Kluyveromyces lactis: one gene and its partners. The protein of the gene in region 2 interacts with the protein of the main gene of each other region in a biochemical or structural test. Links are inferred from orthologs where the notes say so. Each region holds a gene or a part of one and is shown on either strand. Other genes may lie near its edges.

Region 1 (5,117 bases), on a different chromosome or scaffold from region 2:
GATCAATTTGCAGAAATTCGAAAAAGGACAAAATAAACAGATGGAAACTTCGTTCACGTGACATGAAACAGAGGGTAAAGGACCTTATCGGTACGAAATCTATAGTGCCGAGAAAGGCACAGTTCTTCTCCATAGTTGGAAAGTCTATCAATTCTATCTCATGATGAGAATTTGCATAAGTATATAAGGTTTATAAAAGTTCTCATCCTTCAACTAAGAGGGTATTTTGGAATAACTAACAATATTGTCTATCAACGTCATTGTTGAATTTATCTAGTGTTTTCAATTCTTAGGGTTGAGTAGTGATGATATAGATAAGTAGCTGCAGTTCTTTCTCTCCTCGAGGTTTGTATCGTGGGGTTGTAAGTCCTGTAATGAGTTGCTTTTTCGTATTGGGGTCATTCCTTGAAGTGCACTCAAGGCTGTTAACAGATTCTTGCTTGACATGGTGTGTAGGTAGTGGTCTTCATGAGCACCTGATGACGAAGCTACCAGGTTTGGTGAGTTTGTTAGGCTACTTAGCCTCGACGAGCTCATGTCGCTGTGTTCCGTGAAAATAGTGTTCACCAAGCTGCTACTGGAATTCTGAGATATTGGAGCAAACTGGGCTGGTTTTTCCACGTCTAAGTACATTGAAGTTTGTAAATGATATGGCACAGGGATCATAGCAGGTAGAGTTGGCTGTGGGGCTATAAGTTTATCGGTATTATTAACTGGAATACCCTGTTCATTCATTTGAGCTAGATTTACCTGACTGGATGATCTGGATTTAGGTCTAATGGTTCTTGGCTTTCTTTTTCTTGATTTGAAATGTGTTTTGATGTGTCTCTTTAATTCGTCATTTCGGCTAAATCGCTTGGGACAACCAGGAACCGTGCATGCGAAAGGCTTTTCTCCTGTGTGTGTTCGTATATGCCTTGTCTTGTGTTCCAACCTATGGAATCTGTTCCCACAAATTTCACATAAATATGGTCTGTCGTTGCACTCTTTTGGTGTTGACATGTTAATTTGTTTGTTATGTTTTGTGATTTATTGTTATTTTGGACTTTATTGGTGGATATTGTATCGTATAACTGGCTAGTAGTTCACTCTGTGATGGATCTTCTCTTTCCTGATAAGGCTTTTGAAAGGATTATGTTTCACATTTAAGTTAATAGGAACTAAACGATTCAGGAAAGAGACGAAAGAAAGATAGTGGGGGGAAGACATGACAAATCGTGGTAACTACCCATATATATATATGTATGTATATTTAAGTACACGGTGTATTATGATGATGATGATGATTACGGTGCTTTGGTAAGTTAAAGTGGGTTGGATTTCCACCATCTTACGACAAAGACTGAACAGCTGGACAATTAGAAATTAATGACGAGACTCTATGAAAGCAACGGAGCTTGAATTTGCACAAAGATTTTTTTTTTATTCAGGTAGATTACTCCAGGGAGAATAATTTTTCCGAAACAATCAATGGTAATTTCTGGGGGAAATTAGTGGAAGCCTCACACGGAAAATCTCGAAGTGGTTTTTCCGGGATGCTTGAACAATCAGTAGGACTATTTCTCCGGATTCCTATAAAAAAAACACACACTCATGATATCGTGGCATGCGATATATTTGTTGTTTTTGCGAAACTTGCAAACTCTAATTCTTGCCCGTTCTCAGCTGAGAGATATTCCGCACCATGATTGTCCAGTTGGAAGCCATATTTAACACATAACATTTCTTTTGTCCGCAGGGCTATGGTGGGGTCATGGGGTATATCTGGAGGTTTCGTATAGGCATTTGGTGGGGTGGTTGAAAAGGGAATGAGGTGGATAATCATATTTCGCACAGGCTTTTAACGTTGCGCAGTACAGGGATATCATTACACTGGATAAAGCTAGATAAATTCTATATCTTCTTGTTCTAGTCGTTACAGTGGGATATCCAAAGTCCTCTGCGTGTACGTAAGAGGTAACTAAAGACATATCTATCAACATGTCTCGGATAATTATAGCTAAGATCGGTGATCGTAGCACCAAAACAATTTTTTTTATATCAATAAGTATGACAAGTTGTTCGCTGGTTTAGTTTCTTTTTTTGAAGCCTGGAGGGGCTTGGAACCGGCTGGGGCGTACCTGACTATTAGAATTAAACCTACTGGGAGCTCCAGAATTCGTATTGATAGGTTTATGACTTGGCTTCGTAACTCTATTTGAACTTTCTGAGTTAGTTGAAGTTATATTAGATCCATTCGTTCCAACGTTCATCTTGTTAGAAGTCTTCCCTTGACGAGCCTTTTTCGCATTATCTAATTTTTTTGCATTCTTCTTCTGGACTTCGATTCGTTCCTTCTTAGAGAGTTGGGGAGGTGACTCAACCGAGGTACTCAACACATGCTCACCCCGTAAAATTATTAGTCCAAAAGTCCTTCTTTCGACTTGCACATTGCTTGACAAGTTTCCTCCACTTTTAAGTACTTCTATGATTTGTTTATGAGGCATGCGTTCCTCTACACAATCTCCCATTACAAGGTTCATATATGCATCAAAAGCCATAAGTTGGCCAATATAAACCCTTCCGTCATGGGTAGCGACTCGTATTCTATAATCTATCAAATCTGATAGCTTCGTTTCCTTCTTTTTAACTTCAACTTGCGACATCGTCCTTGTATCTTTTGTATGATATGCTTAGAGATATAACTATTCTTCTTGGTGAACAAAGAAAGTGAAAAAGACTGTAAACTCGATTGTAAGAGGTATCCTTATATCATGCACAAAAAAGCGGTCCGTAGCAGTGATTCTTTATAGGACCAACGCAAGTTACTCATTGATCGTGAAACTAGTTAATGTTTTAATTTTCGATACAACATGATAGTTAGAATTCATCCACTATGCGGCTATGAAAAAAAATGATCACGTGGAAAATTATGTTTCTTTGGGATTTGAGATAATATGAATTATATTTGGTTCGCAAGATGCGAAAAGGAAACAAATACTGGTAAGCATCTTTAGATCAAAAAAAGCATTGCGTGAGCCTAGGTCGTACTCCTCGAACATCAGCACACTAATCATATCAACAGATACAAAGTTTGCAAATATGGCTGAAGAAATTAAGGATAAGCAAGAATTTCAAATAGGTGCAGAAGAGCCTGACTCTTCCAACGTTGCTTCACAAGCTAAAAGAAGTGCTGAAAGTGAGCTTGCTTCTACCGCTGATGCCAACGATAAGAAATCTAAAAAGAAGAGAAGAAGAAGAAACTATGATGATTTGGATGAAAAAATTGCTCAAGAAGACAAGGCATCTGCTACTTCTGGTGCTAACAAGGAAGAAGATAGTGAAAGTGAAGTCGATGACGAAAAATTAGATCAAATGATGGTAAAAGAAGATGAAGAAGAAGACGACCTTTCAGAAATCGATAGTTCCAATATTATAACTACTGGTAGGAGAACTCGTGGTAAGATTATTGATTATAAAAAGACTGCCGAGAAATTGGAAAAAAATGGTGAGGTTGGCAAGGATGATGATGATGATGAAGACGATGAAGAAAATGACGAAGAGTTCAAGGATCCAGCTGCTCCTGCCCCTGCCCCTGCTAGTCCGACTGAACCCAAATAGAAATTTGAATTAAAAATTTACTCAAGCGCATATAAAAGTTTGTAGTTTCACTAAATCTCCATGTTTGACATTATGGTAGTGTTTCATTTAAAAGAACAATGGATACGACGCAATGAACTGAGAAGGTATTTTGCAGTTAAGAAGTTTCAGGATGTCCTTCCAAACAGCTAGTATTTGCATAATTATGGCAGTCAATGTTATATACATAAAACAAGTGTCTAACTTAATCGGGATAAATGTCCCAGTCGATGATAATTCTGCTTCCCTTTTTCTTTCCGGGGCTTATACTTTCTATATAAACACCCTATAAGGAATGACCATAATACACGTTTAGAATTCCTAACAGCAGTTGTTTGTACTCTTTTTGTGTTTTTCGTTTGGTGCCGGTGTCAAAGAGATCGTAGGTCCCTTTGGAGCGTTGGCATTGTTTCCTGAGGCGTCATTCAAGTCTAGTTGATTTTTGGAAATCATTTGGTAGATAGCAGTAATCAATGCTCTGAACGCTTCGTCAACATTGTCAGCATTCAATGCACTAGTTTCCGTGAAAAGAAGTTGATTTTCTTGAGCATAATTCCTAGCCTCATCTGTTGGAACCGCACGTTTATGATCCAAATCAGATTTATTACCAATGAGTCCAACAGCGACATTTTCATCGGCATTTTGTTTCAATTCAGCCAACCAGTGGTTACAATTTTCGTAGGAACTTGATTTAGTGATATCATAAACTATTAAAGCGCCAACTGCCGCCCTGTAGTATGCTGTGGTGATTGCGCGGTAACGTTCTTGGCCAGCAGTATCCCAAATTTGGGCCTTTATCTTTTTACCTTCCACTTCAATGGTCCTTGTAGCAAACTCTACACCGATAGTAGTCTTTGAATCAAGGTTAAATTCATTAGCTGTGAATCGCGATAGCAAATTGGATTTACCAACTCCAGAATCTCCAATTAGCACGACTGTTAATAAGATAATCGTATCCAGCAAACCACAATAATACGGTTTTTTGATATAATTTTCGGGTTAGTAAAACAACTGCTCATTTTAGAAGCATAAGATTATTACCACCACCCTTGGTGTTAACAAAATTTCGCATGTGCGATGAACAAAGTATAACCACTGAATTAAGATTAAAAGACTCAACTGAATTAAGAGGAGGGACGGGACCCTGGAGATCCCCTGTTGACGGAACATGCCACCGAAACGTTTTGGTTTTAGGCTTCGAAGCAGTTGAAATAACGCTCTGCACACTCCATCATTGGAGGTAAGTGATAGGGCATCACTGCCTCCCCTCCTATTATATAATTCAATTAGCTGATAACTAATCTTTCTCAAAGCGCTAGCACTTGTTCAACAAATTAAAACATACTCTTAAACAAAAAGTCATAGTCGTATCCGTAATCTTCTCCCTGCATGTTGAAATTTCGTCTTGATCGTTTCTTGCTCTTCTATAGTTACCTAATTAGGTATCGTGATAAATTTGGTTAACCAGATGATCTTCCTCTTGTGATTCTCCACAAAGC
Region 2 (4,894 bases):
ATTTGGCCTTTCTTCGTGATTGATAACAGGCTCATCGACGTGATGATCCGCATTGCGACGAATTCTTGCTCTGTTTTGAATAGTAGAAAGCTCAAACAAATTGAGCCCAGTACGTAAGATAACCTGCAGTAAATCTGTCCCAAGTATAGCATATTGGCTTATAATGAACAGGGTATATGTAACGTCAATGTTAGATTTGTACAAGATCTTATTAACGTAATATGCCACTATGATACCATCTACGGCTGTTAGGACTAATAAATTGAACATGAACCTCGAAAGTAATATATCTTTCAAAGTAAGGCGCATGTCATTTGCCTGGAAAGTGACTTCCATTCTGTCCTTGAGGATCCAGTGTAACGTTCTACAGCAAACAAAAAGCACACAGTGTATCTGCATAACTGAGATGAGCCCATTCATCGACGAGCACGATAATAACAAAGTTATTACGGTATACGATATCCGTTCGAGAATATGTTCATATTCAATCAACCGTAACTGTCCAAATAGCATGTGAATGACACCCTTTAGTATTAAGACGCTGTTTAATAGAAAGAGATTCCCCCATATCATGGCATGGATACCCTCGGTAATCTTCGTCATTGCATGCAAATAAGAGAAAGATGTTGTTACACAATAATGTAAAGACCATGCGGCTGCCGTATATGACATAAGGGAGTAGGCAATAAACTTTTGGGTCAGAAACACATTTTGCGGTTGACCAGGAGCACCAGCTTCAGGATTCCGATTGAATAAACCAAACATGACGTCGACGTTGTAGCAAGCTTGAGAAGAATCAAAAGGTCAGTCTCCGAAAAGTGATAGGACATAAACTGTCTCAGCTCCTTGTTTCGATTCCCAGTTTTGTCTGCAAGATGTTTCTCTTTGGATCATTTCACAGTTTTAAACCTTTTTTTAGTCTGTATAAACGTTTCGATATCTTTCAAGTTGCGTATAAGAAAAATAGAGTTTGATAAAATACATACATGGGAGTGTAGAAGAGTTATATCAAGGGAAAGCTGAAGTTCTGCTATGTCTAAGGTTGCGTAGTTGATGCTATATAGGTATACGTGCTAAGGCGGCGAGTTAAGAGAATAAATGAGTGCTATAGCATTGAAACTGGGTGCGTTGCTTGTACGGCAGGTTACACGACCAATGGCAAACGTGCTGAAGCGGCAAGCAAAAGAGCATGCTGTATTCAAGGAAATTTGCATCGGTTTGGCCCAGAAAATGCACGTTGCAGATGTTGTGTTGAGAAGCAAACTGACGCCAACTAAGTTTTCCAAAACGATTCGTCCGTTGAACGATACGAAAGCTGTTGAAAATGGTGCAACGTTGCTCAGCGAAGGCTTTGTATTTGGTGTTACGGGTAGTGTTGTAGTGTGGGAGACTTTAAGACAGCGTCAAAAGGAGCTGGATAGACGTGAACAGGTCACTCAAGATATTGCTTTTTTACAATCGGAAATCGAAGAACTGAGATCAACGACTAAGACCCAAAGCGACCAAATAAAATCATGTCAAAGTCTTAAGGAAGAACTAAAATTAATTCAGTCAAAACTCTCCTCACATAAATGAAAATACAAAAAGGATATTGGACCACCGATATTCTAACGGAACAAACTTGTATATAGTCCTATTCTGGAATGAATAAGTATTTGAGTATAGACGTAAACACAAGCTCTAATATTAACAGGTCATGAGTAAAAGTAGGAATTGGATTATAGATGTTACATATACATAACTGTTTAATAAAAATATGGAAATGGAATAGATGAGGGTTAAATTGCACTTTTGATATTTTGAGATAAGATAATGCGGTGAATTAGTAGTGTACCATCACGACAAGGGAAAAGAGAGGGGGGGGAAGTGGAGATGAAAATATACAACCCTTCACCCTGGGATATGATTACAGTTAGAGTCAAAAAGTAGAAGAAATATAATAATGAAATAACAATAGAGAGCTGTTTTTAAGCGCTTAGTCTCATTAAACTTCATTCAAATTGATACAATTTTCACGCTTCATTTATGCTTCTTTTCCACTTTCAACAACAAAGCCTTGTTGATATGAGGTAGAACACCACCAGAAGCGATAGTGGCTCTGATCAAGGAGTCTAATTCATCATCACCTCTGATAGCAAGTTGTAAATGTCTTGGGGTAATTCTCTTCACCTTCAAATCTTTAGCAGCGTTACCAGCCAATTCCAAAACTTCAGCAGTCAAATACTCAAGAACAGCAGTCAAGTAAATAGCAGCCTTGGACCCAACACGGGTTCTTCCAGCAGCATTTCTCTTCAAATAACGCTTCACTCTCCCAACCGGAAACTGAAGACCAGCTCTAGCAGAATGTGATTGTGATTTCAATGAACCACTGTCTTTGGCTCCCGACTTACCCTTTCCACCGTGTACTTTTCCTGACATGTTGTTTCTCCTATAATAACTTTAATATGCTCTTTCTTGCAATGTCTGATCGTATATATCTCAAACTTGAAAGCAAACAGCAGATTCTATCTTTTCTTAGTCCCTCTGGTCCAATATTCAACTTATGTGAAGTTAAGTTAAGTTAAGTTGATATCGATTTGTTTTTGTTTGTTTTGATGTTTATTTTTTATTTTTATTTTTCTGTCTGAAAGTTTCGTGTTTCCTCTCTTACTTTCATATTGTGAGATTTGCTACAAGTAATAAGATTTGGGGTAAGGGCTAGGAAGAACCGGGAGGGACGAAGGTATTTGAAATAATGAAGATATACAGGCATCGACATGTCTGGAGTTGTCAAAGGTGAACATACGGTTTGATTGGTCTAGCTTTGAAGTGCAGTTTGCCGCTTTCTTGATTTTTTTTTTTTTGCCGCCTGCTATTCTACCGGTTGTTTTTTTTTTCCTTTTCCCTCAGACGAGACAGCATGGCAGGGTAACTATTTATGAACTCGAGATGCTTGCAACCTTGTACCCTTAAAGAGCGTAGGAGCCACTGATGGATTTAAGAAACGTTCCGGCTCATTTCGAAGAACATATGGTAGTGGTGTTACTGCAATGATGGTATTTTCACTGTGTGTCCCCTTTAATTTTAAATGAGGGCCGGAATTCGTTTTTCGAATGGAATAGTAAAAGGGCTTTAAAGTGAATGCTTGACAACTGAGCATTTTCAGTTAGACTAATGTTCCAATTTTTGTACGTGCATCCGAAAATTTGTCTGTATTGCCAGCCTCTTTTACCTCCTTTCCTCCAACTAATAGGGGCTTCATGCAGCGTCTATTATAGGGGGAAGGGCATTTACTTAACAAAATTTTTGGAAACCCTTTGATAATAATGCACTTGTACCATTTCTTAGGTGCGTCGTTACTATGGTAATACATAGATTGTATTTTCCGTGCGTTTTTTTAGACATTTTTTTGCGGGCATGCGTGATGAATTCTAACTATAACAATCCTACACACTTTGCGTGAAGAAAAGTGGAAAATATAGAAGTTTAAATGCTCAGCTAATATTTTGTCATAAATCAATAAACTATGGAACCTGGTGAATATATAACAATGCTACCGTTTCTCTCATCTACATCTTGAGTCCTAACTCGACCCAATTAAGTTGATTTCCAAGTCCATAACTTAAAGCAGTTAAACAATCAGCTTTTACGATAGAAAGTCCACACTCGGTAAAATCAAACGATTATTTTATTGAATCTTTTGGAGTGTGTCACTTCTGTACATAGTATTATCGTGAAGGGCGCAGACATCAACTCTGAGTTAGGTTATCTATAGAATTGTTCCGAGTTAAAGATTAGTTTATTCCTTTTCTGATGTGGTTTTTGAACTCAGTTAATCTGTTGTTTCTGGTATGTTCGGTTGCCCTACATCTAGATGCCGTTAACGCATGGTCTCCGACAAATGGTTACGCTCCTGGTGTGGTCGATTGTGATGAGAATATAAACTTGGTTAGAAAAGCTGATGCTGTTTCAGATGATGAAGCGGATTGGTTGAAAGTTAGACACGAATCTACTGTACCAGCTTTGAAGGACTTCTTGCAGCGTGGTTTTAAGGGTTTTACCAATGACACCTCAATCATTGATAAACTGTTAGCGACCCAAGACACTGCTCCCAAGGTTGCTATTGCCTGCTCTGGTGGTGGTTATAGAGCAATGTTGAGCGGTGCTGGTATGATTTCTGCCATGGATAATAGAACTGACGGTGCAAATGATCATGGTTTGGGTGGGTTATTACAAAGTTCAACTTATTTGGCTGGTTTGTCTGGTGGTAACTGGCTCGTTGGGACTTTGGCCTACAATAACTGGACTTCTGTTCAAGCAATTATCAACAACATGACTGACGATAATAGTATTTGGGATATTAGTAATTCTATCGTCAATCCTGGCGGTATCAACATTTTTTCCAGTATTTCTCGTTGGGATGACATCTCAGACGCAGTGGAAGAGAAAAAAAAAGCCGGCTTCAACACATCTATAACTGATGTATGGGGCCGCGCCCTATCTTACAATTTCTTCCCATCATTGGACGAAGGTGGTGTGGGTTATACGTGGAATACCTTGAGAGATGTTGATGTTTTTAAAAATGGTGAAATGCCTTTCCCTATTTCAGTAGCTGTTGGTAGATATCCCGGTACTCAGGTTGTCAATTTGAATGCAACTGTCTTTGAATTTAATCCATTTGAAATGGGCTCCTGGGATTACACCTTACATACTTTCACCGATGTTAGATATGCTGGTACCAATGTTACTAATGGTACTCCAAACGTAACAGGAAAATGTGTTGCAGGCTTCGATAATACAGGTTTTGTTATGGGTACGTCCTCCTCCTTGTTTAACCAATTTTTATTACAACTTAACACTACTGATTTGCCATCTTTCTTGTACAACTTACTTCACGGATTCTTGACTGATGCTT
Region 3 (6,881 bases), on a different chromosome or scaffold from region 2:
TCATGAGTCAAGTGAGTCAAGGTGTTGCTGCTATGCATGCTCTGCAACCACCATTGATCCATAGAGATATTAAGATTGAGAATGTCTTGCTCTCGAAAAATCATGAATTTAAGCTTTGTGATTTCGGATCAGTGTCTGGTGTCATTCGAGCGCCAAGAAATACAGAGGAGTTTAACTATGTCCAGTACGATATAATGAAAAATACAACGGCGCAGTACAGATGTCCAGAAATGATCGACTTATACCGTGGTTTACCGATAGACGAGAAGTCTGATATTTGGGCATTGGGTGTCTTCCTGTACAAAACATGCTATTATACTACGCCGTTCGAGAAAAATGGGGAATCTGCCATCTTAGCATCTAAATTCGAGTTCCCAGCCTATCCACGTTATTCTGATAGAGTGAAAAATTTGATAAGTGTCATGTTACGTGTAGATCCTCTGAAACGTCCGAATATTTGTCAAGTGGTAGAAGAGGTTTCACGTATTCAAGGCATTCCATGTCCAATCAAAAACTTTTATCTGTTAAGAATGATGGATAAACAGGAACAACCAAGGGTGTCGCCACCTCCTCATGTGCCACAGATGACTGTGCCGGCAACTGTGCCAACTTCTGTTTCAACTCAGCATCTGCCCCCCCAAGTTGTATCAAACGTACAGACTCCATCGAAAACTGCATCTATTCAGCACTTGCCTTATTTGCATGTGTCTAAGAGTCAACCTATGGTCACACAGCAGGATTTACTCTCACAAAAGCAACCTGCAGGAAAAACAGTTCCTCAGACGGTTTCAAACTACACAAGTTCAGATCCATTCTCCAAAATTGATAGATCTGCTCTTTTGTCTACTTCTGCTACAATGGAATCACTACCGAGGGCAATGAGAATACCACAACTAGAATATCAACAGCCTCATCTTCTGACAAGATCGCAATCAGTAGTGCCTAGAGCCTCTGTGAGTCCAGTAAGAAATGGTAGAGGTGCCATTTCAAGTATCTTGGCATCAAACAGAACATCCTTAGATAGACCAAAGTATGTGGACTCTGAAACTCAAACCAGCGATCATCCATCAGAACTGGGTCTTTCACGATCTCTGTCTAGAAAATCAGTCGCATCATCTCTGTCTTCTGCGGAATCCTTGGAAGCTACCTCAACTGGCGGTAGCTTGACTCGTAAAATAGGTTCTAAGATGAAAAAAGTTATCACCGGAGAGAAGAGGGGCTTTTCAACCATTAGAAGTGCACAAAATACCGGTGAAAGCGTAAAATCCGCATTTAACGCATTAAGAAAGGGAATTTCCTCAATGCAGTTCACTGGTGATAGCAGTTCCAGAAAATCATCTTTAGAAGCAAGAAAGTATAGAAGTACTTCAGGCAAATCCATTCCTGAAAATACTTCTTCTAACACCAAATCCCATAGGCGGTCCACCAGCTCGTTTTCCTTCGTTCCGGAAAATAATGACTATGAATTGATCGAAGATATACAAAAGGAGAAACCAAAATCATCACTGAGAAGATCCTCTTCCTTGAAAACTTCATCTTCGATCCAGAAGCGCGTTAAAGATCTAATCAATGCAGATGATATACCCAATCGCTCTTCTGCCACTGGATACGGGAAATATACTGATATTGGGAGGAAAACCGATATATCTGACCACCATAAATCCAATGCAAATCGTAAATCAAGTACAGTGATCACTCCTGTGCATGAGGCTCCTAAATCCAAACCAGCACCGCCACCCAAACCAGCTCATTTGAAGCCAAATCTTCCACCTAAGCCTAAACACCTAAAGGCAAAATCTTTCAGAACAAGCCCAGCAAAATCCGAAGTTAAAGAGCAGGATTCCGATCAAGATTCTGTGGGTAGCCCTTTCCAATCTCGAAAAGAAATGAAAGAGTTTGAAAGAAGATTTCCAAGTGCATTATAGAATACTTTTAAAATTACATATATCTTTATAATGATATTCTAATTATTCCGATTCACTCCATTCTTCGAAAGAATCCAATATGAAATCAGTTGCTTCTTCAAAACGTTCATCGAATATGTTTGTCATTCCGTCACAATCTGCCTTCAAAACTCTACCATACTTCTTTCTTAACTTCTTATTTTCGTTGGCCGTACTACCCCAACAAGAATGTGTGCTACTTGTGAATACCAAGGAATTCTTGAAATACCAATCTCCTAACGTTTCGTCAATTAATGGCACCATTACTTTAAGAGGTTTTTTGTCTAAAAATGATATTGCACATTTTACCACTGACCTGGTATCCCTATGGCCTAATAAATGGACAATGCCTCCGTAGGCATCTCCAATGCCGATAAATGCCACCTTTTGTAGATTTTGGAAGAATTTCAAGTAGTTATCCCATAAATATATCAGAATCTCTTGTGATGACGCAACACCTGGGTAGTTGGCATGTTCAAAGAGTGTTTGAGGTATATTTATGTCAATTATTCCATATCTTCTATCCATTGCCCAATTGATCATCTTCAAAGCATTGTCGACGATAATTGAACTAGAAGGATCAATAATTCCTGTCTGTGTGTCACGTTCAGACCAAATCTCTGGTGTGTCATGCACGATCACCACAAGTGTTTCAGAGTCTTGGATACCTGAGGTGCATAGCATAGTATTTGCTGGTAAATTCAAATCAAGAATTGGAAGTTGAACAAAGTTGAATTGTGATGAGAGCTGTGAAACTTGGTATTCTCTAATAGCATTTTGTAAAGGGAAATTCCTTGTGTCCAATGTTGAAGTTATAGCATCCTTGAAATTGATCCCGTCATTTCCATGTCTGTTCTTAAAGCAAGACCAATACTTTGACTGCGTTCTGATGACTGTTTCGATCATTTTTTTTGCCTCTGGAGTTGGTTGCTTTTTAGGAGCAGGCAATTCATCTGGTGGTTCTCCGACCAACACCTTACAAACACCAAGCGCCGACTTAGCTATAGAATCCAAATTGTACCCACCTTCTAAGACAACACACAAGTTTCCTTTAGCCAACGAAAGTAGCATATGGGTCATGTGACCGTAACAAGCAGGAGTAACATGGCATTGGCCGATAGTGTCACCATCGGCTGCATCAAAACCAGATGAAATAAGGACCAAATCCGGTTCAAACTCGCGACCCATTGGCATGATAACTTGTTCAAAAGCCCACATGTATTCAGCATCACCAACACCGCCTGTTGGCCACGTTATATTACAATTGAAACCTTCACCTTTCCCTTCGCCGGTTTGGTCATAGTTTCCATGGATAGTACCTGGGTAATACTTGCCTAATTGATACCTGTGAAGAGATACATATAAAACTCTATCATCGTCATAGAAGGCCTTTTGAGTTCCGTTACCATGATGGATATCCCAATCAACGATCATGATTTTACGAACACTTTCAGGATACGATTTGAGCATATTTGCAGCAGCGACGGCTACGTTACTGAACAAACAAAAACCACCAGCAATTTCAGGTTCAGCGTGATGACCAGGTGGCCTTACTACAGCTATTGAGTTTTTCACTCTTCCCTCGACGACAGCCTTACATGCTTCGATAGCACCACCGCATGAAAGTTTGGCACTAAGATACGAGTCATTATTGAAATACACGGAATCTCCACCCTCAGTCTCCTTGAGTAAACTTTCACGTTCGAGCTGTTCTGTCTGTGATATGAAATCCAAATGCTGTCTTGAATGGACTTGCAAAATTTCTTCCTCTTCAGCTTCACGTACGGGAACCTTCACCATTAGATCTCCGATCGAATCTGCACCACTCAAAGTTGGGTCCTGAATCAATCCATTCTCCGCTAGGATCTTGTAAACACGGTAGATACGGCGGGGGTCCTCTGGATGTGGATCGATGTATTCGAAGTAAGACGTGAAGATCTTAGCATGATAACGCATCCTCACATCATAACAGATCCCGGTTTTCAAAAGACTATATCTAATCTTTGGCTTCGTTGGTGGAACAATGACAGGCCGTTGAGATTCATCTTTACTGGGCAGAGTATATGCAGTACCCTCATTTTTAATTTCCTTGATGCTGGGCCTTTCCAGCGGCTCTTCAGCCGGTTTTTTACTTTCCATGTTCCGAATATATTATGGAAAGGTAACCACGATAATGTTGAATGACAGGCAATGGCAAAAGGGATACCGTAACTAGCTTTCAATGGGAAACGGTCTACTAGAAATGAATGATACAACCACAAATTACGTAACTCCAATGCACGCTTAATTCCCTAGAGCGCCTTTTTACCTTCTAATCGTGAGGAAAGGCTAAAAGTCCACTGAAAATGGCGGAAAAGCTGTGAGAGAACTCTCTTCGTTCGGATTATCTCTCGAAATTTTACTGGCCAAAAAAGTTGTTTTGTGTTCAGATACCGTCAGAATCGTTTGATTGACCTTGGTTATATGGACGTAGCTGTCTTGCACAGGATCTGGTACTCAGAAGATCCGTATGAAGATCAGCTGTTTCACATATGGTTCCATGAGCGCAGGAAATTGTTGATGTTTTAAAGTTCCAATATTTACAGAAAACCAAACTGAGGTGACAATAGAAAAGAAATTATTTTTCAACATCGGACTCTTCAAGTACTGAAAATTGAAAATGTATAATACGTATGAAGAAACATGTAACAAGAGCTCATCGCGATGAGGTATAGAATAGACGTAATATAGTTACGTGTTAGAACTGATTTTGCTGGATCTGTGGTACAAGCTATACAGCGCTATTTCATTGGATTTTCATTTTAACTTCATTGTGATTCGAGATGGAATTCTACCGTGATGCAACCTGGGTATTGGAATTCGTGGAACAGGAGCTCTCTAAAGACAAGAGAGTTGCAGGTTCGTTACAGACCTTGGTACTTACTAGTTGTAAAAGATATAAGCTGAAGACAAATCCTCGTCACATTTATGCCATTGTTAGTAGTACATGGCAGTATAGGGAATATCTAGATAAAATCATTAAGAAGAGCGGGATCTTGGAGGACGTACCGAAAAAGAAAGGGAAACCGCTGTTCAATAAGGATACCATAAGGCTCCTAGTACACGACCTTTTACTTTCAAAATCGAAGCGGATTCAGATGGGTAAGCATCCTATCAAAACTTTCATTTTGAAGCATCAGACTAGGTTAAAGGCTGAGTTGACAAAGCTCAAAGTTAAACTTAAAGTCACCAGTCTGTCGCAGTTAATCAAAACCGATGATGGAGAAGATGTTACACCGGTTCGTTGGATCAGAATTAACCCTATCCTTGTCAAGGAAAGATATGACGATGTTCTTGCTGAATTAAACAAGAAATTCCCACAAAGAGTGAACTCTTGGAAACAAATCGTTCCTGGGAGCATATATTACGATGAGTATATTCCAAACTTGTTTGGCATTCATCCAGGTGATAAGATCACTTCGCATGAGCAATATAAGAGGGGGAAAATTATCATTCAAGACAGGGCATCCTGTTTCCCCGCCCACATCCTCAATCCAAACAGTACTGACGTTGTTATCGATGCATGTGCGGCTCCCGGCAATAAAACCACACACGTTGCGGCACATATCTTTGGAGACGTTGACACCAAGGTCGATTCAGTCAAGATACATGCTTTTGAGAAGGATCCTGAGCGTGCAAAAACTTTACAGATGATGGTTGCCACCGCGGGTTGTGCTAAGGGGGTCAAGATACATGTTGGTGATTTCACAAAACTTGGTAAACCAGAACTTTTCCAGAATGTAACTGGATTCATCGTTGATCCAAGTTGTTCTGGCTCTGGTATATTTGGCCGTAAGGCAATTGATAAAGTAAACTTGAGCAAGACTGGGTCATCAAACACCGATGAAGATCAGACCTCGGTTGAACCTGTGGAGCAAGAAAAAGAATTGTTTGAAAAGGAACAAGATTTGAAGAATAGATTAGCCAAATTATCATCTTTCCAATACCAAATTGTGAAACACGCCATGTCTTTCCCATCTGCTAAGAAAATATGCTATAGTACTTGTTCTATTCATGCTGAAGAAAACGAAAGAGTTGTCATTGATTTGCTCTTAGACTCAAAGGTCAAGGAATGGGGTTGGAAAGTAAGAAAGAGAACCGGTGTAATTCCAACATGGCCTAGAAGAGGATGGACCAGTGAATTTGAAGAGGTGTTTCCGAAAGAGGAAGCAAAAGAGTTGGCAGAAGGGTGCATCAGGGCTTTACCGAAGGAAGATGGTGGCATTGGCTTTTTCGCCGTATGCTTTGAGCGAGATTAGTAAAAGTCCATTAGTTCTATATCCACTGTCCATGATAAAATAAATATCGAATCATAGCAAAGTTATTGGCGTAACAAACGTAGAAATATATTCATTATATATTAATTAATTAATCTAATTTAGATAGAACATCCTCCAACACTTGTTGGGTGGTGGAGTTACCACCAAGATCTGGTGTCAAGTATTTACCCTCTCTGATGTTGGCATCAACAGCTTTGTGGATATCCTTTGCCGGTTCTGGGTAACCCAAAAATTCCAACATCAATGCAGTGGATCTGATGGTGGCAATTGGATTAGAAATACCTTTACCAGCGATATCAGGGGCAGAGCCATGACATGGTTCACCAATAACGATGTTTGGACCAACATTGGCAGATGGAACAACACCCAAGGAGCCAACTAGGGCAGCAGCACCATCAGAAAGAATGTCACCGTACAAGTTTGGTGCAACAACAACGTCGAAACATTCTGGTTCTCTGAACATTCTGTAAACCATGGAATCGACGATTTGTTCATTATATTGGACACCTCCGTACTTGTCCTTGTTAGCTTCATAAGTTTCTCTGCATACCTCTCTGAAAAGACCATCAGATTGTGAAAGAACATTGGATTTGTGAGTAACTGTTAAAGTGGCATGACC

The links.
Region 1: the proteins of HTZ1 (region 2) and CHZ1 are reported together in a solved structure, tested with the Saccharomyces cerevisiae proteins (3 studies listed by BioGRID, with this or other methods). The link is inferred for Kluyveromyces lactis from reciprocal best matches to the Saccharomyces cerevisiae genes HTZ1 and CHZ1.
Region 3: of the proteins of HTZ1 (region 2) and HDA1, one has a biochemical effect on the other in vitro, tested with the Saccharomyces cerevisiae proteins (2 studies listed by BioGRID). The link is inferred for Kluyveromyces lactis from reciprocal best matches to the Saccharomyces cerevisiae genes HTZ1 and HDA1.

The regions. Positions count from the first base shown.
Region 1 is NC_006038.1:46,454-51,570, forward strand, and holds CHZ1 (Chz1p), read left to right. Parts: upstream 1-3,081; coding exon 3,082-3,600; downstream 3,601-5,117. Other genes in the region: mRNA splicing protein SMB1, read right to left, coding at 2,070-2,645; Rab family GTPase YPT31, read right to left, coding at 3,940-4,553, 4,964-5,009. UniProt on the Saccharomyces cerevisiae protein: Forms a chaperone-bound H2A.Z-H2B complex that acts as a source for SWR1 complex-dependent H2A to H2A.Z histone replacement in chromatin.
Region 2 is NC_006039.1:520,976-525,869, forward strand, and holds HTZ1 (histone H2AZ), read right to left. Parts: upstream 2,419-4,894; coding exon 2,020-2,418; downstream 1-2,019. Other genes in the region: E3 ubiquitin-protein ligase HRD1, read right to left, coding at 1-765; KLLA0_C05896g (OPA3 family protein), read left to right, coding at 1,099-1,575; PLB3 (lysophospholipase), read left to right, coding at 3,793-4,894. UniProt on the Saccharomyces cerevisiae protein: Variant histone H2A which can replace H2A in some nucleosomes. Nucleosomes wrap and compact DNA into chromatin, limiting DNA accessibility to the cellular machineries which require DNA as a template.
Region 3 is NC_006041.1:751,249-758,129, reverse strand, and holds HDA1 (histone deacetylase HDA1), read right to left. Parts: upstream 4,083-6,881; coding exon 1,968-4,082; downstream 1-1,967. Other genes in the region: KLLA0_E08405g (Ark/Prk/Nak family serine/threonine-protein kinase), read left to right, coding at 1-1,925; rRNA (cytosine-C5-)-methyltransferase RCM1, read left to right, coding at 4,766-6,241; LYS12 (homoisocitrate dehydrogenase), read right to left, coding at 6,351-6,881. UniProt on the Saccharomyces cerevisiae protein: Responsible for the deacetylation of lysine residues on the N-terminal part of the core histones (H2A, H2B, H3 and H4).